4 linked regions of the Schizosaccharomyces pombe genome follow. Changing the gene in region 1 together with any one later gene gives a genetic interaction. Each region holds a gene or a part of one and is shown in the gene's direction. Other genes may lie near its edges.

Evidence for each region.
Region 2: mutations in cdc42 (region 1) and klp5 are lethal when combined (synthetic lethality), as found in Schizosaccharomyces pombe (one study listed by BioGRID).
Region 3: of cdc42 (region 1) and scd1, a mutation in one rescues a mutant of the other (synthetic rescue), as found in Schizosaccharomyces pombe (3 studies listed by BioGRID, with this or other methods).
Region 4: of cdc42 (region 1) and gef1, changing one suppresses a phenotype caused by changing the other (phenotypic suppression), as found in Schizosaccharomyces pombe (5 studies listed by BioGRID, with this or other methods).

Annotation. Positions count from the first base shown.
Region 1 is NC_003424.3:1,913,338-1,918,156, forward strand, and holds cdc42 (Rho family GTPase Cdc42), read left to right. Parts: upstream 1-2,671; 5' UTR 2,672-2,770; coding exon 2,771-2,818; exon of another isoform or gene 2,819-2,981; coding exon 2,982-3,050; intron 3,051-3,480; coding exon 3,481-3,942; 3' UTR 3,943-4,319; downstream 4,320-4,819. Other genes in the region: mitotic and meiotic cohesin loader subunit Pds5, read left to right, coding at 1-2,322; heat shock protein Pss1, read right to left, coding at 4,661-4,819. UniProt on the Schizosaccharomyces pombe protein: Involved in development of cell polarity during the cell division cycle.
Region 2 is NC_003423.3:1,708,581-1,715,127, reverse strand, and holds klp5 (kinesin-8 family plus-end directed microtubule motor Klp5), read left to right. Parts: upstream 1-3,010; 5' UTR 3,011-3,206; coding exon 3,207-3,237; exon of another isoform or gene 3,238-3,293; coding exon 3,294-5,914; 3' UTR 5,915-6,047; downstream 6,048-6,547. Other genes in the region: cay1 (cactin), read right to left, coding at 242-871, 955-1,407, 1,454-1,546, 1,602-1,853, 1,900-2,025; IMP dehydrogenase Gua1, read right to left, coding at 6,247-6,547. UniProt on the Schizosaccharomyces pombe protein: Has a role in establishing metaphase during mitosis. Required for chromosome segregation where it generates tension during kinetochore capturing.
Region 3 is NC_003424.3:3,513,411-3,519,977, forward strand, and holds scd1 (RhoGEF Scd1), read left to right. Parts: upstream 1-2,136; 5' UTR 2,137-2,419; coding exon 2,420-2,444; exon of another isoform or gene 2,445-2,522; coding exon 2,523-5,116; 3' UTR 5,117-5,324; downstream 5,325-6,567. Other genes in the region: protein Pos1, read left to right, coding at 619-720, 777-1,484; rsm7 (mitochondrial 37S ribosomal protein uS7m), read right to left, coding at 5,484-5,729, 5,817-6,350. UniProt on the Schizosaccharomyces pombe protein: Required for mating and morphogenesis. May contain a cryptic binding site for cdc42 that is enhanced by binding Ras. Interacts directly with scd2. Promotes the exchange of cdc42-bound GDP by GTP.
Region 4 is NC_003424.3:468,920-475,129, reverse strand, and holds gef1 (RhoGEF for Cdc42 (Gef1)), read left to right. Parts: upstream 1-2,139; 5' UTR 2,140-2,230; coding exon 2,231-2,272; intron 2,273-2,327; coding exon 2,328-4,547; 3' UTR 4,548-5,149; downstream 5,150-6,210. Other genes in the region: SPOM_SPAC24H6.08 (uncharacterized protein), read left to right, coding at 433-1,095; SPOM_SPAC24H6.10C (phospho-2-dehydro-3-deoxyheptonate aldolase), read right to left, coding at 5,304-6,210. UniProt on the Schizosaccharomyces pombe protein: Has a role in the control of cell polarity and cytokinesis. Involved in bipolar growth, via modulation of cdc42-shk1-orb6 signaling, and septum formation. Stimulates guanine nucleotide exchange of cdc42.

The DNA of each region.
Region 1 (4,819 bases):
GGTGTGGAATACTCAATACAGATGTTCAGCTGGATCCCTTCATCTCTTTTGGAAGTATTTTATGTTAATGATGAAACAACTAATGCGGCTGTTGAAATTTGTATGGCTGAACTGGTCCTACAATACCTTAGTTCTGATACGCAAACAAGGTTAAACAGGCTTTTCCTTTCAATAAAGTATTTTAGTGAAAAAGCGATGCGAGTTTTTATTCTACTTTTACAAAGACAAGTTAAGTATTCGGAACTCTTAAATTACTACATTGAGTGCTGCAAAAATTACAATGGAGGTGTTATGGATAATGATGAAGAGTCAATTACCAACAAGCTTAAGAAGGTGATTGATATCATATCATCAAAAAGTTCTAATCCTACATTAACAGAAGCCACTTTCAGAAAATTTGCGGAACTTAATGATCGTCAAAGCTACAAAATGCTTTTACAAACGTTTTCCATTAAAAGTGAATATCAAGTTGTTTTAAAAAGCATAAAATATTTATTTAAAAGGGTTTCTGAAACGTTGAGTACCGCAAGTCTTGAATGTTTTAGAATATTCGTTTACCGTTCAGCTCTGTTTGCTTTTAATAAAAGCAACGTGCATGAAATAATTCAATTATTAAATGAACCTGTAAAATACCACAATTTCCTTAAGCCGTCGGAGGCTCTTTTACAGCATTTACCGCTAATTCATCCCAACATATATGGAGAGGTTGTTATAGAAGTTGAAAATATTATAGTTTCTTCGGGCATTGAATCGGATCCTAAAGTAATTAAAGCTCTTTCCCAATTCTCCAAAAGAAAAAAAAATTTTTCTATACAAACAACAACTGCTGAAATACTACGAAAGTTGTGTCTACATGGAACACAGGAACAAGCCAAACAGGCAGCGACGATTATCGCTATAACGGAGACGAAAGAATTCAAACTCGATATGATAACGAATATCGTGGAAAATTTGGAGTATAATGGAGGACTTCCTGTACGGCTTATGACTTTAGGACAACTATTTCTATACACTTTAGAAGAGGTAGAGAAGGTTGCTGACCAAGTTACAGAATTTTTAGTAAAAAAAGTTATACAGCGCTTTCCTGAAAAATATGATGATACGCATAATGATGAGGAATGGTGTACTTACGAAAAATTAGATAATCTTACCATGTGCAAAGTTTTAGCAATTAGGGTTTTGGTTAATCGACTGAGGGCGGCGGCAGGAGGAACCGAAGCGTTAAATATTGGAGCTCCTATCATTAAGCTATTGAAAGTATTGTTAATGGCTGACGGTGAATTAAGTCCGTTCAAGAATACTCCCAAAATTTCTCGTGCTTATTTACGTCTCACTGCTAGCAAATATTTTTTAAAGTTATGTTCCATTCCTTTTTATGCGGAACATATAGATTTTAGTTCTTACGTTCAAATCTCCTTATTATGCCAAGATGAAAATTTTGACGTGAGAAATTTATTTTTGACGAAGCTTCAGAAGCAGCTGCAACTTAAAAAGTTGCCAATTAGTTATTATCCTTTATTGTTCCTGACTGCTGTTGATCCGGAAGAGGAGATCAAGACTAAAGCGTCTATATGGATACGTTCTCAGGTTGCTTTTTTCCAGAAAACCCATGATTTTACCATGGAATATGTAGCAACATATCTTATCCATCTTCTCTCTCACCATCCAGACATATCTTCGATAGAATCAGAGAACTCGCTTGATTTTATTGCATACATTCGCTTTTACGTTGACACTGTTGTTAATAGTGAGAACGTCCCAATCGTTTTTCATCTAATGCAACGCATAAAACAAAGCTATGATGTTATTGAAGATGGAAACAATTACATTTATGTGCTAAGCGACATGGCTCAGAAAATATTGCAGGTGAAATCCCAGAACTTTGGATGGAGTTTGACTACGTATCCAAAGCAAATTAAATTACCTTACGAAATTTTAAGACCAATTCCCTCTATAGATGAGAAAAAGAGAATTTTCAATAAAATCTTCATAACGCCTAAAATGGAAAGTCAGATTGAACATGCTATAAGGACACCAGTCTCATCTTTTGCGAAACAGACTACCAATAAGCACGCAAATTTGAAGCAAAAGAAGACTCATAGCTCAAAGAGCGATAAAAAATCGTCTAGAAGAAGGAAAAACGAAAAAAGGAGAAAGCTAAATGAGCAGAATCCTAATATTAGGAACGTGCCAGAACGAAGTAGCTCAAGATTTCAAGGGATTCGTATAAATTATTCGGAAGCACCGTCTTCAAGTGAGGAGATAAGCGAAGAAGAGGAGGAAATTAGCGAAGAAGATTTTGATGAAATAGAGGATTTATAAAAAAGGCTTATTTGGATGCGAAATACCGATACTAGAACACTTACCCAATATTACCAATGAATTTTCAATGTTAATTAGATAAATTGCTATCTTTTTTGTTAAACAATCTATGCTTGCTAATTGCCTAAACTTTTGAAAGATGACTCCATCACATACATGCCTCCATAACTTCTGCATCTATTAATTTTTTTCATTCCTAGTAATATAATAATAAAAGTTGCATTTTTGAGTTTTTTTACGCTTTACAATTCGTAAAATCTAATAGTGAGATTGGATTAGCCGCTGTAGTATATCTTAATAAAGCATGGCTGGGCGAACTAATTACGGTGACCGCACAATATATTTACCTACAACCAACACCGGTGTTTGATACTTAGGGGTTTGAACTTTCTAGGAATTCAATAAAGTGAAGCAAAGCTTTACGATTAATTATTTTTTGTGAAATAGTATGCCCACCATTAAGTGTGTCGTAGTAGGAGACGGTGCTGTAGGAAAGGTGAGTTGATGTTTACGGAAGGTGAAGTTAAGCAATGCATAAAAAAATACAAGAATTGCTATCATCTAAAATGAAGTTTCTTTTGTCTATACATTCCCCTTTATTTCTTTCTTTCCAAAAATTGTTCTTTTGAGTTTTACACATACTGACCGTTTGAATGTAGACCTGTCTGCTTATTTCCTATACTACAAACAAGTTTCCTAGTGACTATGTGCCAACTGTATTCGATAATGTAAGTATAATTAGTTGTTTATGGAATGAAGTACTTGGTGAAGTTTTGTCCCCATATTAGAAATTTTTTACTATTCAAATGTTCGGTCACGGAAAATTTTGATATAAGGCTTTTTGTCAAAAAAAGGCTGAAGGATTAAACAATGACTCAATGTATTTATCGATTTTATCTCAGAAACTATTGAAAGTTTAATAATTTTTTTTTATCCGATGCTTTTTTTTTTCCACACTAGATCTAAAGACCGTAGGAAGCCTTATCTCGTAAGGAATAAGATGAGGCGACCACTTTCTTTCCCAGGAAGATTTGGTCGTTATTATTTCTGCTATTTGCTATATTGGGGACTATTCTAACTTTCTTGTTGCTTTTACTCCCGTTTTTAATTGATATAGCTGATTTTCATTTTATAGTAAAGATTTACTGACTAAAATAGTATGCTGTCACTGTCATGATCGGTGATGAACCATACACTCTTGGTTTATTCGATACCGCTGGTCAGGAGGATTATGATCGCTTGCGTCCTTTATCCTATCCTCAAACAGACGTCTTTTTGGTTTGTTTTAGTGTAACTTCTCCTGCCAGTTTTGAAAATGTGAAAGAAAAGTGGTTTCCCGAAGTTCATCATCATTGTCCGGGCGTCCCGTGCTTAATTGTTGGTACCCAAATTGATTTACGTGATGACCCTTCTGTGCAACAGAAACTAGCTCGCCAGCATCAGCATCCCCTTACACATGAGCAAGGTGAACGATTAGCTCGTGAGTTGGGTGCTGTCAAGTATGTTGAGTGTTCCGCTTTGACCCAAAAAGGGTTAAAGAATGTTTTTGATGAAGCTATTGTAGCCGCTCTTGATCCTCCTGTTCCTCACAAGAAAAAGTCAAAGTGTTTGGTACTGTAATTTAACCCCTGGTTTTCTTTCCTTTTCCGAAATTTCCTTAATACAGCTAGTTTACAACAGTAAACAATGTCTTAGCTTTCTTTAACGATCCCTCATATTTGCAAAGATATTTGCTATTTGTTGTTTTCATCCTAGCTTTTGTGCTTCTTCATTCATTCTGTCAATCACACACTTCTTGGGCTTTACATATCTGTGTTTTCTGGCTAGGCATATTTCCTTTTTCCGTTAAATAAACGACGATTTTGCTATACTTTTGCTACATTATTGTATTCTTCTGCCATTACTCGCAGAATTCGGTATGGTCCGACTTTGATTTTAGCTCTAATATTAGTGTAGCCAGGTAATTCGCAAATAATATTATTTCATTTGTTAGAAAATAAATCGATAATTTAATCATTTTTAGGTGATACGATTATGTTGACTCATTTGCTCTTGTCGCTAGAGCATTAAAGGAGAAAAAATGGATCTACAGTATTGCTTAAATACATGTGATTATTTTAAAGCTTCTGCAATAGTTTGTTTTATTAACAATGACTATATTTTAACTTACTTCCAGTAATTCTGATAAGAAAGATATCTAAATTGAAATGTATCCTACCGAAACCCAGTTGAGATTCGATTTTACGAAGTTTAAACATACCGCGTAAATGAAATTCTCGCATAAAATAGGGAAATATTAAACACTACACTAAACCTAAAGAATAATATTCTTCCATTTTTACTCCTTTTGCTCGTCAATTTCCATAGTTTCAACTTCTTCGTTTTCAGGAGCTACTTCCTCAGCAGGAGGAGGAGGAGGAGCACGACCACCGGTGCCTTCCTCAAATTTTCCTGAAGGCTTTTGCTTTTCAGCTTCGGATTTAGTAGCGGCCTTGGC
Region 2 (6,547 bases), on another chromosome or scaffold:
CATATTTTTATGTCAGGGAACTTCAAATTTCTATGATGCCTTTTCCTTCTATTTATCACCCCCTTCTTCTTGAATTAGTTTAGCTTTTCAATCACGAACTAATCGATTTCGTGTTTCTTTACGATTAAACTTATTTATGCAATACTTAAGTAGTTTAGTAGATGCCTTTTAAGGTTGTTTAGCTGCACATGTAACAGTAATTTAAATTTCATTAAATGTACAACATGATAAATCAGTTATTTTACCTTCTATGATGAAGCTTTTTGAATCGAAAATGGAGGGATAAAACACCATTGTCAAAACTGCTTTTAAACCCATGATCTCGTTTTGCACTGTAATCCCAATCTTTATCTACTATACTGAAGGCAATATCCTGATATGGTTCCCCAGCTATAAAACGTATAATGCAAACATCGTCTTGTAAATCAGTAGTGTCGCTTTTATTCTTCCTTCGTGTTCGTTCTATTCGATACGTTGGTGCACGGCCTGTACCTATTAAATCTGGATAAAAAACGTTAAAACGGTACCCTTGAACTGCTTTGGGAGGTGGGTGGGCTTCATTGAAATGTGCTTGATTATAAGAATTCCATTCAAACCCAAGCAAAACTCTATTAAAGTAGTGAGGCTTTTTCAAAGTAACCCCGTTTTCGTTAACAACACGGGTTTGCCCTTCTACATAGTCCCCAAGCATCTCTTGCTCCTCTGCATCATCGGATTGTAAGTATTCTCTTTCGAGTCGTGCCCTGTTGGCAATTGAAAATTCATCCTCGTTAATCAGATTACTGTTTTTCGGCAAAGTTGGCTTTTGTTTTTGGGTAGGTATCGATATTGGAATATAAGTGCTAGACTTTACAATATTGACATGATCATTCTAGAAAAGATTTTGGTTAGGACAAAAGATGGAAATCGTAATTTGGAAGAGAGTTAATATTATGAAAAACACAAATATCTTACCAATTCTTTTTCATAATCGGCTTGTTCTTCAGGTTGTATCCTGCGTGGTATCGCTTGAGCCCTCAAAATGGGCTTCGGGTCTATAGGGACAATATATAACTTCTCTTCACGATCCTTCATATTTGACAGTTTTTTGGCATCGGAAAAAGCTTTGTCCCATTCTTCATTATCAAGTTTATTTTTTCGAATTTGTAATTCTTCATTAAAAGTCTTTTTTAAATAAGCAATGGCCTTGTAAGATTTTAAAGAGTTTAGTAAATCAACCCAATAATCTGTATCGAGAGGGACATTGCTCTTCAATTTTTTTTGAATTTGTGCCTCAAGCTGTTCTAATTGTTCAAAAGATTTAGGGGCTAAAATCCTTTGTACTTCACCTGCTACGACCTTTAACCCTCTTGAAAATTGCCCAACTTTGTTATGTTCCATTCGAGAATTCACTAGCATTTTAACGTACTATAATGTATAATTTAGCACTTAAAGCATAAAAAATAATCCATACCTTCCAATAAGTTAGTCTACATTGGTTCGTTTCCAGCTGCTGAATATCACCAATATTTCTAGATATCTCCTCCAAATCTTCTGCTTTATAACTCTAAGTATGTTAATGATTAATCTGTTATAAAGTAAAAATAAAATAAGTCCCTTACTTGAATAACAGAGAGTGGATCAAACATGTCAACTGTTCCAAAATCAATTGAATTTTTTTCTCCATTCTCTTCCCATTCTGGGCCTGGCATCAAGTAAACGCTGACAAGAAGTTTATCTATAGGCTTAGAACGATCATTCTTAAGTCGAATAATAGCTCTTCGAAGCTGCTGTAAACGCAAAAATTCCCGTTCTTGCATTTCTTTCGTTTCCCTACTTCGCTCTTCCTCTTTCATAGCATCTCTCACTCTCGGCTAAAGGGAAGGTTAATTCAAAAACAACTAACATTTTCCTACTTACTAAATTATAATTTGCTCTTGCATTTTGATTTGAAGGTCGAAATGAACGAGGTGAAGAAGATCTCGAAGCATGCCTTTTTTCAGGTCTACTTCTGTTGAAATCGCGAGTTGAATCACGAAATGCCATAGTAATATATTTAAATTCAATGCCTTAAATACCAATATTGCTGTATGAAGGGTGCTTTCCAACAGAAGAGAATCCAATTGCTTTTTTTTTATTTGAAACAACTCAATGAGTAGGTTAAGTTTTTTTTTTTGAAATTTGAAACGTAGAGCTTTGTTATTTGATAAATGAACTTAAGGTAATCAATTACTTAGCAATAATAAGACTTATCCAACAATAGTAAAATTTATGGTTATGGCAAAGGTGAAATTTTATTGCATATTCGAATGCTTAGTAGGTAGTTCTAATTTGACGCTTGGTGGTTTGAAAGAAATTGAGCGGTAATGTTATAGCACGAAAAACCCCTAATTCATTATAGTTGCTATTGGTAAAAGTCTCAACGATATCGACTAAAAGGTGAAGTAAAACTCAGTATTTAGTACCTAACGAATATAGGAATACCCAATATAAAATATAGAATATAATTTTGTTTATAGCGCTCACTAGTCCTCTGCTTTCAAACTAATCAGATATTTAGGCCATCAGTTAATTGGCAATAAAGTAGCTAGTGCAGCAGTTGTGGTGTTTATAGAAGTGCTAGAAGAATATATACACTTATTTGATGTTCTATTGCAATTATAGGTGAAAATGATTTAAATTTGTCGGACGATTTATTAAAGTGTGATAAAAGTAAAGCAAAGCAAGAATCTTGCCAGGCATGTGTACATTATAAGTTACAAACCAAACGATAGCGATTCAGTTCAATCATCGAATTTAGTTGCCTTTTATAATAATAAAAATACTGTAAAAGCATCTATGATACTGAGATAGCATTATACACAACTAGTGAAAATGAAAAGGTAAAACAGTATTTCAACTCGATTTTAATCGTAACTACCTGTATTTGTGTTTATTGTCAAAATATGTAAATAATGTAATTGTTTACATCTTTTATTGCCATAACAACCATTCAAAACAAAGTGCGTTACTTGACTAAGAAATGTAACTTGGCAAATGCCAAACAGTCAACATTGAAGCGCACTCAAAAAACGCGTTTCTCGCTCTTTTCTACTGTTACATCTATTTTAATAGTGATCTTCGATATAAATTGCTTTTATTCAAGAAGGTTATTGGAATTGTTGTTTGCGAGTGCCCTTCTTTTCATCTGTTTTGGATGATTGCTTGCATGGAAATTTTGCTTTTCAATGTCAAGACAGTCGTCCATTACCGTTACAGGTTAGTCTTTAATGTGATGTTTTTTAAATTCATATCTTTTTGCTAACATAAAATAGTCCGTGTTCGCCCATTTAGTACAGCTGAATCTGCAAATTTAATTGCATCCTCAGATCGTTTATCATTTGGAACATCTTCTTCCTTAAGGAACCCTGGTTCAGGACGTCAAATTCGACGAGTAGTAAAGGTACTTGATGGACGTGTCTTGGTATTTGATCCCCCGGATGAAACAACGGCTACTTTGAGTGCCACAAACCGCAGACTTTCTACTTCTCAACAGAGTCTCGCTAGATTATCTAGAAAGTCAAACAATTCTGCGGGATTTGGCCGTGATCTTCGTTATGCTTTTGATAGGGTTTTTGATGAAACTGCTACTCAGCAACAGGTGTATGAGAGAACTGCCAGGCCGTTATTAGACAATATTTTGGATGGATTCAATGCTACTATCTTTGCATATGGAGCAACTGGATGTGGTAAAACTCACACCATTAGTGGAACAATGCAAGATCCTGGTTTAATATATTTGACACTAAAAGAACTTTTTGAGAGAATGGATCATTTAAGAGATGAAAAAATTTTTGACCTTCGCCTTTCCTATTTGGAAATTTATAATGAAACTATTCGTGATTTATTAGTATCACCGACCCCAAATCAAGCAAAGCCATTAAATTTACGGGAAGATGCAGACCGTCGCATTACTGTACCAGGTCTTACTTCTTTGTCTCCAGAATCTTTGGAAGAAATCATTGATATTATCATGAAGGGAAATGCTAATCGTACTATGTCTCCGACAGAAGCTAACGCTGCTTCATCTCGTTCGCATGCTGTATTGCAGGTTACGTTGATCCAAAAACCTCGTACAGCTGGCATCAATGAGGACCACACTTTGGCCACTTTATCAATTATTGACTTGGCTGGCTCAGAACGTGCAACAGCTACCAAATTAAGAGGTAGTCGTCTTTTTGAAGGTGCTAATATTAATAAATCTCTTTTAGCCCTAGGAAATTGTATCAATGCCCTTTGTGATCCCCATCGCCGTGCGCATGTCCCCTATCGTGATTCTAAACTTACTCGCTTACTTAAGTTTAGTTTAGGCGGAAATTGTCGGACAGTTATGATTGTTTGCGTATCTCCGTCTTCTGTTCATTACGAAGAAACTCACAATACTCTAAAATATGCTAATCGAGCAAAGAATATCAAAACCGAAGTGTTAAGGAACATGATCAGTGTAGATCGACATGTAAGCCAATATGTAAAAGCAATCGTTGAGTTACGTGAGCAAATTTCAGAGTTGGAGAATCGTCTCGCACAGATCGATTTGTCATCGCAATCAAATGGTTCTGATCAGGACGCTGTAACTCAATCTTTTGCTCATGAATCGAAGCTTGCAGAAGCCAGAAATTTATTGCGTATGACATTTGAGGAGACTTTACCACTGCAAAATGATACTATTAATAAGGTAGAAAAGGTGAAACATTTTGATGATTCAATTCGCGTACTTAAGTACTGGTTATCCTGCTATGAGCGAATACTTCCGAATTCCGCAGATGAACGAGTATTTTTAGTTCGTTCAAAGTTAGAATCATTGTTAACTCGTCGTGCAGAGATCATTGCTGATATAGATCCTGAACTTGTATACCAAAAGTTTCAGAGAAGTGTTTCTCACATTATCAACACATACAAACAAGAAGGTGCTACCATGTACGCTGATGTGTTACAGGATGAAGTTGACTTGCTAAAATCAATTATTGAGAATCAGGTTCTAGATGCTCAGAATAAAGTTGATGAGTTCACTCCTGTTTTAGAATCCCTTCTTAGAAGTTCTTTCAAAGCTAGTTCATTGCTAAAAGAGGGAGGTATGCAAGAGCTATTCTCGATACTGGAAAAGTGGTTGTTGGGCATTGGTCTTGGCGAGAAACCTAATATATCTGTCTTATCAGAAAGTTATAAGCTCAACTCAACATCCGATGATTCACGAACTATCAATCGTGATAGAGTTCATAGTTTTCCCACTCAACCCTTGCTTAATAATAACTTGCCTCGAATGTTTTTCGTGAAGTCTCCAAAAAAACCAGTTGTATTTTCAAAACGTTCTCCAAAAAAGAGGGTTCGTTTCGACGATTCAATGTCTACGTCTGACTCAGGTGCCTCCGCGTATAACTCACCCATTCAAACCTCTAAGTTAAAGAACATGAACTTCTTTAATACTATGCATATGCCTTCAACTCCTGCACATAAACGGCCTGAAAATAAGAATCAGATAGATGTTGAAATTAATCTTACTTCGCCTGTCTCCCCGATGTTGGAAGATAAACCAGAACCTGGACTTTTGATAAAAAGTCCTTTGGAGAAAAAGCAAGAAGTTAATAGTGAATCCACACAGCTTGATCAACTGCTGGCCGAGGACTCGTCAACTGACGATGTTTCTTTACCTCATCTGGACACTATTGATCTGGATGGTAGTCCAGTCCCAAAAGTTCCTGATTTGAATTTTTCCAGAGCCAATATGGACTCACCAACATTCATCCTCAACAATGAAGCTATTCACAACTTTGATTTTTCTAAACCGAAGACTCGACAAAGCCTCAGTTCATTGACTACTCTTCATCTTTCAAATCCAGCTAACATTATTAGGAAATCTTTAAGCATGGCTGAAAACGAAGAAGAGAAAGCCACCTAAAGGTCCGTATATTCAAATACGAATCCTCTAAATATCCTGTTGGGTATATTTAAAAAAAAAAAACGGATAAGCTTGATGATATGAATTTTTAATGAATTAATAACTTATTAGATTATATATTTATAAACCCTAAAATTCTCTTAGTAAACTTGCACAATTCGTTCGTAATGCACTATCAAATACAAGCGTACATATATGTCTGCCACCTCCAATGTACATAATTTTGTTTTTTTCTACCTAAGCAAAACACAATTGACTTGAAAAAAAAATAAGTACTATAAATGCAATTTATTAACTTTAATTAAATTTTTCCTAAATATCCTTATACACGACTAGTAAAGACGCTTTTCGTATGTAGCAAAACCTTGGATATCACCTTCACGGATGGCAGCGCTCGAACGTAACTCGAAGCGAACTTCATGCTTGTCGACAGCTTCATGAAGCTCATCAAGAGATTTGGTACCAATATCTTGAAGAGCGTGTTGCAAACCAGTGTAGAGATAAGGTAAAAAGCGAAGAAGCGAGCCCTTGTCGACGACCAAACCAGAGACACCTTGGGCAACACGGACAGCATCGTTTTCAGAGAAATAGCGGCCAGTAGAAGCATTCTTATTAACACCAGTACCTTCCATT
Region 3 (6,567 bases), 1.6 Mb from region 1:
TTTAATTGATACAATCATTTCATCTCGTAGACTTTTATTTAGTGCGACGAAAAAGCATTCAGTCAAAATTAAAATGAGAAGACACTGTAGAACGAACATTGTAAGAAATTGGTTTAATGTTTTTAGAAAAAATTCTTTACCGCTTTCTTTTATTAAACAGAAACAAGATTACAGGTCTCCCTTGCTTTGGCTTTCACGGAAGTGTGTTGAATTGGATTTATAATTTAAGATCATACTTCGTGACATATACGCTGGCTATTAAGTATGCAATTAGAGCCTTAGGATTTTTTAGCTATGGTCTAAGTGATAATCAGCTTTCGTGGAAAAGTTATATTTTAATCAGAACAGTTGTCTAAGTGATCTGTGGCTGTAAAACGTTAGAAAGCCGGTTTCTCAGATAAAATACCTTAACTACAATCGAATTACTAATTACCTCAAAAAGTTTCGATTCATTTAGACTAATCTTCGTACTCATAAAATATTATTTTTACAATACATAGTTATAAACATTTGTTACTCGTTTCGCCAAGTCACAATTTCCGCTACTCATAGTAAGTACTTGGAGCTTCCATGTTTTAAGCTAGTGCCAAACGCAGTATATTTTCGACTGTAAGCGCGATGGCCTTTTCTCCAGCTAATTCCTTTTTAATTAACAAGTCGATATGTGAGAGCAAAGAAGTGGAACCTTTAGAAGCCAATTTGTTTGGCAAATTGCACAATGTATGTAAAGTTTTAAATAGAAACATTAATTCAGTGTGTTAACATGCAAAATTTAGAAATTATTAATTTGCAAAGCCAAAAAAGAAAATTTGGAAAAGAAACTGGCATATCAAATGATGTACTCGAAGCTTCTCAAATCTTTACCCAAGTTAAGCAGTCTAGAGGAGAACAAATTAACCAAACTAAAGGCTCCTATAGAGGATATGGAGAATACGAAGAAAGAGCTGGAAGAAATCAGGAAACAATCCACTGAGACAGAGTTACGTTATCTTAAGTCTCTATCGAACACTTTGAGCTTTGGTACATTATCTTTATCAAACGAGATTAACAAGGTTGGTCCTTCAGCTTCTTTTATGCTGAAGGAAGTTCATGATAGCGTACAAGTATTGGAACAACGACTTGAAAAGATGGGTCTCATCGAAAAGCCATCCGAATCTTCTGAATCCTCTATTTATTCCATCTTGGCTTCTTTAAAACATACCAACGACAGTTTACAGAAAAAAGAATTATCTCCTCATGAAATTGCCGAAAGTCCCTCTTCTCATTCGACCTCTCCAATGGGAAGAAACGTTGACACAGAAACACTGTCTTTTTTACTTATTGATTGGCAACGATTATGTGCAGAACAAAATACCTTTTTACGTGATATCACTAATAATATGAGCTCTTCTGTTCCTCAAGATGTATTATCTCAACTACGACAATTTTTCTTCCGAAGCGAGTTGTTGTCAGATAAGTTGTCAAACTTGTGCTCCGAGTCCTAGTCCTCAAATCTTTCCTATTTTCCCTTACTTATCTTTGTTCTTTCTGTCAAGCACTCACTCCTTTTACTTTAATATTTTTGTTTTCAGTCTTTTTATTAAGCCGTTACTCTCGTTATCCCTGTTTTATACTTTTAAGTCATCAGGTCCATTCGTTATCATTTTACTACTGTATTTCAATACGTTCTTAACATTAATTTTTTTAACTTTTTTGTCTCTTCTTATCAATTGAAAGGCTGAATTGGTTTATTTAGCATCGTCGTCCTTTTTAAAGACCTCACTCTTTTCTTGGACATCTACCTTTCCTACCAAATTTGTGTCTTACTAATTTTTTTTTTAATTCCCGTTCAATACATGATTTTCCTTGTTACATTACTAAAACAATCGCTCTACTTAATTTATTTACCAAATTTGCAAGCTTGCCTTTTGTAATCGTTTTAATATTGGGATGGTTGGAGATATCCCTTCATTTTTTTAGCAATGAAATTTCAGTTGCCAGCTATTTTATCGTCATAATATCTCCGTTTCAAAAGACTTAGCAGTAGGATTTTCTATCAAATGAACTGAAGAAACAAGTATATTTACCGTAATACATTTACGATACGCTATTCGATTCAACTGATCGCCAAGTGTCTCACTATTACCTTAGTACCTTGTCAACTATACATACTGTGATTTTATCAATTGCAGTAAAACAGCAACTTATTTTAGACAATTTTACTTTGGAGTCAGTTTTAATTTTTATATTTAATTCCAAAGAAACTTCAGGCTTTTTTATGTTTAAGAAATCTTGAAATTGGGTTGTTGGTTTGAATTTCCATTAATTGTTCAAGCATTGGACTACATGCGAGTACTTATACTTTTCTAGCAGTTAAAGGAAATTTTATTTTCTGTATTTTACTGCATTAGGAAGGAGTCTCGAGAAGAAGTTATCAGTTATGGCCTACTTTCAGGATCGCAAAAGTATGTAACGATTGAAAGAAATTTAGAACACAAAAACGCCATTTATGTGTATGCAATTAACTAACTAACTTCTAAAAGCATCCTCTAGGTCTCTTCCTTCTTACATCAATCACAGCACCCAAAACCTTGTAGGTCCTCGTAAAGATGAGACTAATCTGTCAGAATACATGAAACTTAGGCTTTTACAGTCTCCGTCACAAGTTATTTATAATTTAGAAAATACGGTTTCATTATACAGACGATGTCTAAATCTCCGGAAGCGATTGATGGATATATCAGAGTTGGCTGCTTTCTTTGACAGTATTCATCGTGAAGCCTTGAATAGCTCTTTCAAAATACTGGAATTTAAGGACATTGAATTTGATGATCCAGTTACGGAAATTTGGCTGTTTTGTCGTTTAGGTTATCCATTGTGTGCCCTGTTCAATTGCTTGCCAGTTAAGCAAAAATTGGAAGTTAATAGTTCGGTTTCTTTGGAAAATACGAACGTGTGTAAAGCTAGTTTATATCGTTTCATGCTCATGTGTAAAAATGAACTTGGACTCACAGACGCCGCCCTTTTTTCCATATCAGAAATTTATAAACCCTCGACAGCTCCACTTGTTAGAGCTCTTCAAACCATTGAACTTTTATTGAAAAAGTATGAAGTTTCCAATACCACAAAATCATCTTCTACTCCTAGTCCTTCTACTGATGATAATGTACCAACAGGAACTCTTAACAGCTTGATTGCATCTGGCCGTAGAGTCACTGCCGAATTATATGAAACCGAATTAAAATACATTCAAGATTTAGAATATTTGTCCAACTATATGGTCATACTTCAACAAAAACAAATTCTATCCCAGGACACTATTCTCAGTATATTTACGAATTTAAACGAGATTTTAGACTTTCAAAGACGTTTTTTGGTTGGTTTAGAGATGAATCTTTCGCTTCCTGTAGAAGAACAACGACTAGGCGCACTCTTCATTGCCTTAGAAGAGGGATTTTCTGTTTACCAAGTGTTTTGTACAAATTTTCCGAATGCTCAACAACTGATCATTGATAATCAAAATCAGTTACTGAAAGTTGCGAACCTGCTTGAGCCCTCTTATGAATTACCAGCTCTGCTGATTAAGCCTATACAGCGTATATGTAAATATCCGCTTCTCTTGAATCAATTACTAAAAGGTACTCCCTCAGGTTATCAGTACGAAGAGGAACTAAAACAAGGAATGGCTTGTGTAGTTCGTGTAGCAAACCAAGTTAATGAGACTCGTCGTATTCATGAAAACCGAAATGCCATTATTGAGCTTGAACAACGTGTGATTGATTGGAAAGGATACTCTCTTCAATACTTTGGACAACTGCTAGTTTGGGATGTTGTTAATGTATGCAAAGCCGATATAGAAAGAGAGTATCACGTTTACCTTTTTGAAAAAATTTTGTTATGTTGTAAAGAAATGTCAACTCTGAAACGGCAAGCCCGAAGTATAAGTATGAACAAGAAAACTAAACGTCTTGATAGTCTTCAACTGAAGGGAAGAATTCTGACATCCAACATCACTACTGTGGTTCCCAACCATCACATGGGCTCATATGCTATTCAAATATTTTGGCGTGGTGATCCTCAACATGAATCTTTTATTCTTAAGTTACGTAATGAAGAAAGTCATAAACTATGGATGTCCGTTCTTAATCGACTTTTATGGAAAAACGAGCACGGATCTCCAAAGGATATTCGTAGTGCTGCTTCGACCCCTGCTAACCCTGTCTACAATCGTTCTTCTTCTCAGACTTCAAAGGGTTACAACTCCTCCGACTATGATCTTTTACGTACACATTCTCTTGACGAAAATGTTAATTCTCCTACAAGCATTTCCAGTCCCTCTTCCAAATCTAGTCCGTTCACGAAAACTACTTCTAAGGATACAAAGTCTGCCACCACAACTGATGAAAGGCCATCGGATTTCATTCGTTTAAACAGCGAAGAATCAGTGGGTACCAGTAGCCTTCGTACTTCGCAAACAACATCAACTATAGTTAGTAACGATTCTTCATCGACTGCATCTATTCCTAGCCAAATCTCTCGTATCAGCCAGGTCAATTCGCTATTGAACGACTATAACTACAATCGTCAAAGTCATATAACTAGGGTGTATTCAGGTACTGATGATGGGTCTTCAGTCAGCATTTTTGAAGATACATCTTCATCAACGAAACAAAAAATTTTTGATCAACCTACTACTAATGATTGCGACGTAATGAGACCTCGTCAATATTCATATTCAGCGGGTATGAAATCAGATGGTAGTTTGCTCCCTTCTACTAAACATACTTCGTTAAGCTCGAGTTCCACGTCTACCTCCCTATCAGTTCGAAATACCACGAATGTTAAAATTCGTCTCCGTTTACATGAGGTTAGTCTCGTCCTGGTTGTTGCTCATGATATAACATTTGATGAGCTGTTAGCCAAGGTAGAACATAAAATAAAGCTTTGTGGGATTTTGAAACAAGCTGTTCCTTTTCGGGTTAGACTGAAGTATGTTGATGAGGATGGCGATTTTATAACCATCACATCCGATGAAGACGTTTTAATGGCATTTGAAACGTGCACGTTTGAACTTATGGATCCTGTCCATAATAAAGGAATGGATACTGTGTCTTTGCACGTTGTTGTTTATTTCTAAACTAGCATTGTGCTAGCTGTACATTGTCAATTTAATTTATATAGAGGAAATTAACAGTTTAGTCGATGAACTAATTTACTTTCCCTTCTTTGTTTTGAAAAAACAACAATATACTTCATAGAAGATAAATTCTGTAGCATTTCCGTTAACTGAAAAGGAGCTGTAGAAGAATGTTGATGAATATTATGAAAGTTATTTTACAACCAAACTATAACCTCATAAACATGAATATGATTAACTGCGCACTACGTAGTATAATTGAGTTGATAACTAAGAGTAATCAATTCTCGATATACTAGACAAAAATAACATTACTAAAAGGGAATGCAATTCATAAAAAAGATAAAAATGTACGGAATTTTTGTTTTTATATACGAACGGGTGCATTACCTCTGTTAACAAGGCACATTCTGTGCAGATGATCTTTCTTTTTGAAACAATTGCTTGTCTTGCTCCTGATAGCAATGATTTCTTTAACAATACGATCTGATAATCTTTTAGGACTTGATGATTTACATTCACCGAGGATCCATTGTAACGCAATCCTTCTTCGCTGTCGCTCTTTCAATGGCATAGGAAATTCGACACTTTTGTTAAATCGCTTTGCAGAAACCTATCAAAATATTAGCAAATCCGTCTACACACTATAAAAAGAAATAATTCACAAAAAATTCCAAAATTTTCAATAATTTCGACGTACCAACTTCATTAAGGGAGAAATCTCAGCGATTGCTTGTTTCAAAACATCTATAGGATTTTCACCGGTTTCTTTTTGTATGATAGAGAGCGCTGTTGCAACAATCTTTTCAGCTTTAGCTTTTTTCCCATCTCGCATTATTAAATTCACCAAATGCTGTACTGTAGAGTCGACCTGAAATGGTCGATCTATTAACCCTACAATTGAACTTGACGGAGAAGGCCACAGATTTGTACCCATTAGCGGCGGTTCTTCATTTTCAACTTCAATTTTTTTCTCTAATTCACCCATAAAATCGTCGGAGGCAGACTGTTCGACAGAATCTTGAAGTTGATTCAGTAAATTTTCGAGTCCCGCATTATCCCATTGTGGATTTGAACGTTCATTGATATCTTCAATTTTTTCATTATATTTTTCATTTGAGGTAAATTTTCCAACTTGAAAAGTACGAGTCTGATGGATAAAAACAAGCGACTCTTTCATCAAATGTCCCGAACTCGCACATCGAAACAAAGGTTGCTTTATGAGTCGTAGCATGGCCCTTTATTGTTTGTTCTTTCTTCTTGAATGAAATTTTTAAAACAATTACTCTTATTAATCAAAGCATGTAGGAAAGCTAAGGTGTGCGTAGATGTTTAAGCTTAGTACATATACACTATGGATAAATGAAAGAAAAGGGAAGGGAACTAGGCGCTAGCGTGCTACATTTCAAAGTCGTTTGGCTATTTATTTATTAACTTGAAATAAGATAAAT
Region 4 (6,210 bases), 1.4 Mb from region 1:
AGCCATTGCAATATGCTGACCTTTATTATTTGAAATCCATTATTGTATTAATTATGATATTCCCGTACGTTGCACATTCAGCGCTATTGTAAAAACTGAGTAGGTAATTTTTACTACACCAAAATGTCGATATTATTCGTCAGCTACGAACTTTGATGCTCTAAGTACTTATATTTATCCTTATTATAATAACCTTACCATTTTTTCCTACTACCGTTGTTTTTAATAGTTCCGCTGCTGAAATCACCTTATTGAACATGTGATATATGGCAATGTTGCATTCGTCTCTTCTTATCCACTACCACAAACCTTCTTGAACTGCTATAAAGGAATACACCAGCCAGTTTCTTTGGTCGAGATAGAAAGATTCTTATTTATTTCGTTCGTTTAAACAAACTAAACATAGAACAACATTATTTGCGTCAACACAACATGACTTCACATCAAACTGGGAAAATTGAGGTGCACTGGAACGATCCTTCTTCTGGTATCTTTTTAAGTCAAACTCAACGAACGTCTTCCACATCAAGTTTAAAGAAATCGGCTTCGAGTAGACGTTTGGTTTATGGTGATGACATGCTGGCACCCAAACCGTTAGCTGGTCAAGTACTTAGTAAATCACCACTTCCTCCTTTTTCACCTTCAAAAATTATGAACAGGAGTATATCTGTTCCTCCCACGAATATCTCTGTTCCTCAAATTAGCAGTAATCCTCTCAACTTGATGAAGAAAAGCAGTGACAATGATATCTTTACCACGTTTAACGATACAACAAACGATTGTATGAACGAAGCTTCTTGTGAAGATGTCAGGCACTCCCTATTGCAAATTATAGAAAGTAAATCAAATCTTAGTGATTCTGTTCATAAGATGTTGGGTGAACGAGTCAAAACGAATTTACTATTACAAGGTCAACTAGAAAACATGGAAGGCTTTTGGCTACAAAAATTATCGCAAACATGTCGCTTGGCGTTGACAGGAAACATTAGTGAGGCGAAGGCATTTATTGTAGAAATTATGTGTGCCGGTGTTGTAACTAATTGTGTGCGCTGGTGTCCAGTTTTGAAGACTCTAATTGAAAACCTTGCTATCTAGCTTTACATGTTGTTATATATTTTCTAAATCTTCCTGCTGCAAGTTATATGACACTAATGCTCTTTTTTTCTTAATTCTATCATTTTTAATGATGTTACTCATTTGCATTTTAACAAACCATTTATAAGCATGATTAGCTATGTCGGACGCTAACGAAGTTACAAGTTAAAGGATTTAATAACACTTCCTTTTTGAAATTAGAAGAAATCTTAATAGATATAATGGAAGTTTCCATTTTTTTTACAATATATATTTTTCTTATGGCCTGTCGATTAATAGTATTTTTAGTTTAATTTACTGAAACATTATATTTGTTTTTAGTGAACACCGTAGAATATTTAGGAATTTTGACTAGGTCTGTTTATCATACACACTTAGTATTAGATATCGTGATTTTTTGAATATATGAAAAAAAGTACTACAGACAGAAAATGCAGCGTATTAGCCTCAAGTAATTATTAAAAAAAATAAAAATTTTCTTTTAAAATTATACAGTGTTTACCAAAGTTATGTAAGACAATCAACTGCCGCTTCTCTCTCATTTCTGTTTATATACATCTTTAATGTTTATTACTTATTAAAAAAAAAAAAAAAAAAAAAAAAAAAACAAAGCAAATTACGTGCATTACCAAGAAAACAAAACCGCTCTAAATATTTAAGCTAATTAAAACAATGAAATAACAAATTTATTAACTTGTAACCGTAACAGTGGAATTTATTTTAACTGCTGTCATTTCTAGAATTTCATAAAGGGAGACATGAATAAATTTAACCTTATATTACAAATTGTAAATACGTAAATGTTTATCACAAAATCGAATACTCAAGTCATATTACTATGTACCTGTGCAAGCAACCATTTGTAAACCAAGTACAAAGGTAAACTGCCTCTGTCCGCGGTTGGCGCTCAAAAAGCTGAGCCAAGCCTATTTTTGGCAAACTATTTTTCGTGGGTGATTACGTTATGCATTGGTAATGAAGATAAGGAAGTGGAAGGTATTGAAAGTGGATTAAGAAGAAGTTGGCGCCAAATCTCCAAAACCTGTGCTTTACCAACAACGTTACCTAATAAAATTCATGTAAACAAAATTTCCAAAATTGTCATTCATTTTATTGTTCTCCAAATGTTTTCAATATGGAGACTTTAAAAGCAGATCTTTCGGATATGTCCGATTCCGTATGTCCTTATACTTGATTTGAATGTGTGTATATGTGTTAACAATGTTGATCAGCCTGAGTACTTTGAAACCTTGGCAAACAGGGATTTACCAAGATTGCCTGGAACAAGCAAGCTTCATCGAGCTGCATGTATTAAACGAAAATCTATCAATTTAAGCCTTCCTTCTAACAGTTATTCGCTTTCTTACCGACAATCAGACGACACTGATGGCGATGTTTCAGAATCACAGAGTGAATACAGGTTGAGTAGTGGAAGGAGGTCTCGAGCAAGCTTTGCTCGTGCTTTACAAGATCCCCAAACTCCAAACACTCCTCCCGTATCGTCTCAGCACCGAAGATTCTTTTCGGAGGGCTCCTTCAATTTGCCAAACTCCAACATGAGCCACTCATTAAATGGGGATTCTACAGCCTCTAATAGTTCTACTTTAACCCCTAATCGTATTTATGGGGACCGCAATCGTCAAGATTATGCTCAGTCTAGCCGATATACTTTGCCTTCGTTGCCTAGTTCCCCATCATATAACTGTCCTACAACACTTCGAAAAATACATACAAACACGAGTAGCAATGGAACTTCACGAAGAGTTAGCGGCCTAGGGTCTTTTATGGCACAGAATTCCTCTGAAACTAGCAGTAACAGGACTTCGGCGTATCTACCTGGTAGCTCTACGGATGAACAAGAAAAGCGTTCCAGTGTGACTTTGGCAAGTATGCCTTCCTCTCATTCGTCTACAGCGTCCCTCCTTTCACCTCTTGATACTACTTCTTTTTCTACTAAGTTGGACTCTACTATTTTGGCCTTGGAAACTGATGAGTCTCTCAGCCGAACAATTTCGTATGCCACTACTTCTTTACCGAGCACACCAGGTAAGCGTTTATCAAAGGAATCTCTTGCTATGTCTGAAGCCAGTTCTATCAATCCAGAATATAAGCGTATTAAAAAGCGTGCAAATTTGATTAAAGAGCTGGTTACTACTGAAGCTGCCTATTTAAACGATCTCATTGCGATTCAACAAAGTTATGGCTTGCGGGTCAAAGAATGCAGTGCATTGAATCCAGTTGACGCCCAAACAGTTTTTGGCGATATAGAGTCTTTATTAACTTTTACTGTGGAATTCCATAGTCGACTTTATCAAGCTGGTGAAGGCTCCTGGCGTGTAAACTTGGATACCCAGCTTATAGATCCTCTTCCTTGCAATTTAGGTCTTATTTTTTTAGAAAGCCTTTCTGAAATCGGTCAAATTTATACTGGTTATTGCAACCGTCAAGATTCGGTTTTCAAAATTATCACTAAATGGAGAGAGAAACCTGCAACTGCATCCTGGATTATGGAGGGTGATAAAATAGTTCAAAAATACACGAACGCCTGGGATTTGGGTAGTTTAATAATTAAACCTTTACAGCGCTTACTCAAGTACCCCCTATTATTGCAAAAAATCATTGATGTTACTCCTGAAAGTAGTTCTGAGCGCCCAGATTTGGTCCTTTCTTATCAACTATTACAGGAGTTAATATCTGGTATAAACCAGAAGCAGAAGCCTTCTCATAAGCGTGGGTCGTTAAGTGCTTCTCATAAACGAGACGCTGCTTGGAGTTTACTCTATAAAGCAACATCGAATAAATCTAGGCCCACCACTACATCTACTGAGTTAAAAACTGATGCTCGATTGAATTTTCAACGCCAAGTGCTTCAAGATTTTCGACAACGATTCGCTATATTAAAAGCCTTACATGCTACATTGGAAACGTGGTACGTTACTGTACATCGTGGATTTTCGGTTTTTGAAAAGGTTTTAGCAGAGCTTGAAGGGCTTAGTGCTTTAGAGCCCGAAGACAAGCCGGTAGATACGTGGCGTAAGTATCATTTACTTGCGCACATGATGACTGCTAACCTTCCTTCTCAAATACAAACGTCTTTAAATTCTTCTATCCTTAACCCAATCACAAATATCCTACGAGTGATTCAAAAAGTTATTCAGTTCATTATCAGCGCTGAATTTGTGATTCCTGCTCAAAAGCTTGAGGCAATTTCTACTCTTGTTGAGAAGGAATTTCACAGTGTTGTTTATCATTTTATTGGTATTCAACGCTCTCTCTATGAAAACTACGCTCAAGGTTTCTTGTTTCTTATCCCTCAAGACATGAGGGATAGCATCTTAGAAGAAACGCAAGATTATGCAGAGTTAGTTCGAGCCTTTGAACCCATGCATTATGATGACGAGGTATTGCTGGAGGAATTAATGAAAAGTGTCTCTTTAGCTGCGAGGGTTTAAGAGCAACTTCTTTAGTCGAATATTTTTTATCTGTTCTATATATATACACATTTAGATATACTGCATTCATGTTACTTGAATGATGAAAACGTTTCTCTGGACCATGGTTTTTTGCAGCTTCCATGTATTTAACATCACAATTACATTTATTTAACCTAATATCTGCGTTTGTCTGATTACAATTCGTTTAGGTTCTTTTAACGGTCTTTTTTTGTCTATCACAGAGGCCTGTTAAGTTTAGTTTCAAATTAGGATTCTAAACGCTTTTACGCCTTCCTTTTATGCATCTCATTATTTTTGTCTGCTCAAGTCGAGCTATTAATTATTGTCTTTTCACTTTTTTTTTTTAAACTAGGAACGTTTTGGCTTTTCTGCTGTTATGCCATTTTATTTGTTCATACGCTTCCACTTTTCATTTATATGCTTTAATAATGTATATAATATTTGACTTTCACTTTAACTATGTTTTATGTTTAAAATATGTAATTAGGTTTTGATTGAATTAATTTTGTTCGTCGTTATTTATCCTAGTTGACTAACAAAAACAGGTCAAATTCTTACATTCGTAGTAAAACCAAAACGTAAATAAAAATACTTACGATGAAACAGTCTGGAACCATCCGATAAAGTGCAATGATAAGTACGATAAATAACCTTTTAAAAGTCACACTGTTAATTACGGCAAATACAAATTTATTATACAAGAAACCAAAAAATTTATTTTTATAAAACTGTCTCAATAACCTTCATTATAGGTTAATGAGAACGACGAGAACGGACGGCAGCAGCCAACTGTTCAAAAACGGCGGTAGTGTCGTCCCAACCAATGCAAGCATCGGTGACACTGACTCCATATTTCATACTTGACAAATCATCCTCAGGTATAGCTTGCTTACCTTCGTTAAGGTGAGATTCGATCATGACACCAGTAATTGCTTTCTGACCGTTTGCCACCTGCTCAGCAATACAAGCAGCAACCTTGGGTTGATTCTTATGGTTTTTAGATGAGTTTCCATGAGAACAGTCGATCATGATACTAGGTAGCTTGTTGCATTCTTCGAGTTTAGCCTTGGCACCAGCCACTGAATCAGCATCGAAGTTAGTCCCACTTTTACCACCACGCAAAATAATGTGTGTATCAGGGTTACCTGTAGTAGTAACAATGGCTACAACACCCTGCTTTGTGACAGACAAGAAATGATGAGGGTTGGCAGAAGAATTCATAGCATCTATAGCAATACCAATGTTACCGTCAGTAGCATTCTTAAAACCTATTGGAAAAGAAAGCCCTGAAGCAAGTTCTCGATGCAATTGGGACTCAGTGGTACGAGCACCAATAGCGCCCCAGCAAATTAGATCAGCTAAATATTGGGGACTTATAGTGTCCAGCATCTCTGACGCTATACCGACACCAGTTTCCAGAAGCTCCAGAAAAATGCGTCGAGCGACACGAATACCCTTATTAATGTTATAAGATCCATCCAAATCGGGATCATTAATCAACCCTTTCCATCCAACAGTTGTACGAGGCTTTTCAAGATAGGCGCGCATAATAATATGCAAGTCCTTCTTGTGCTTAATAGCCTCCTTTTGCAAGCGAATGGCATACTCCTTGGCGGCAACAGGATCGTGTAAAGAACAGGGTCCAACGATTAGAAGAAGT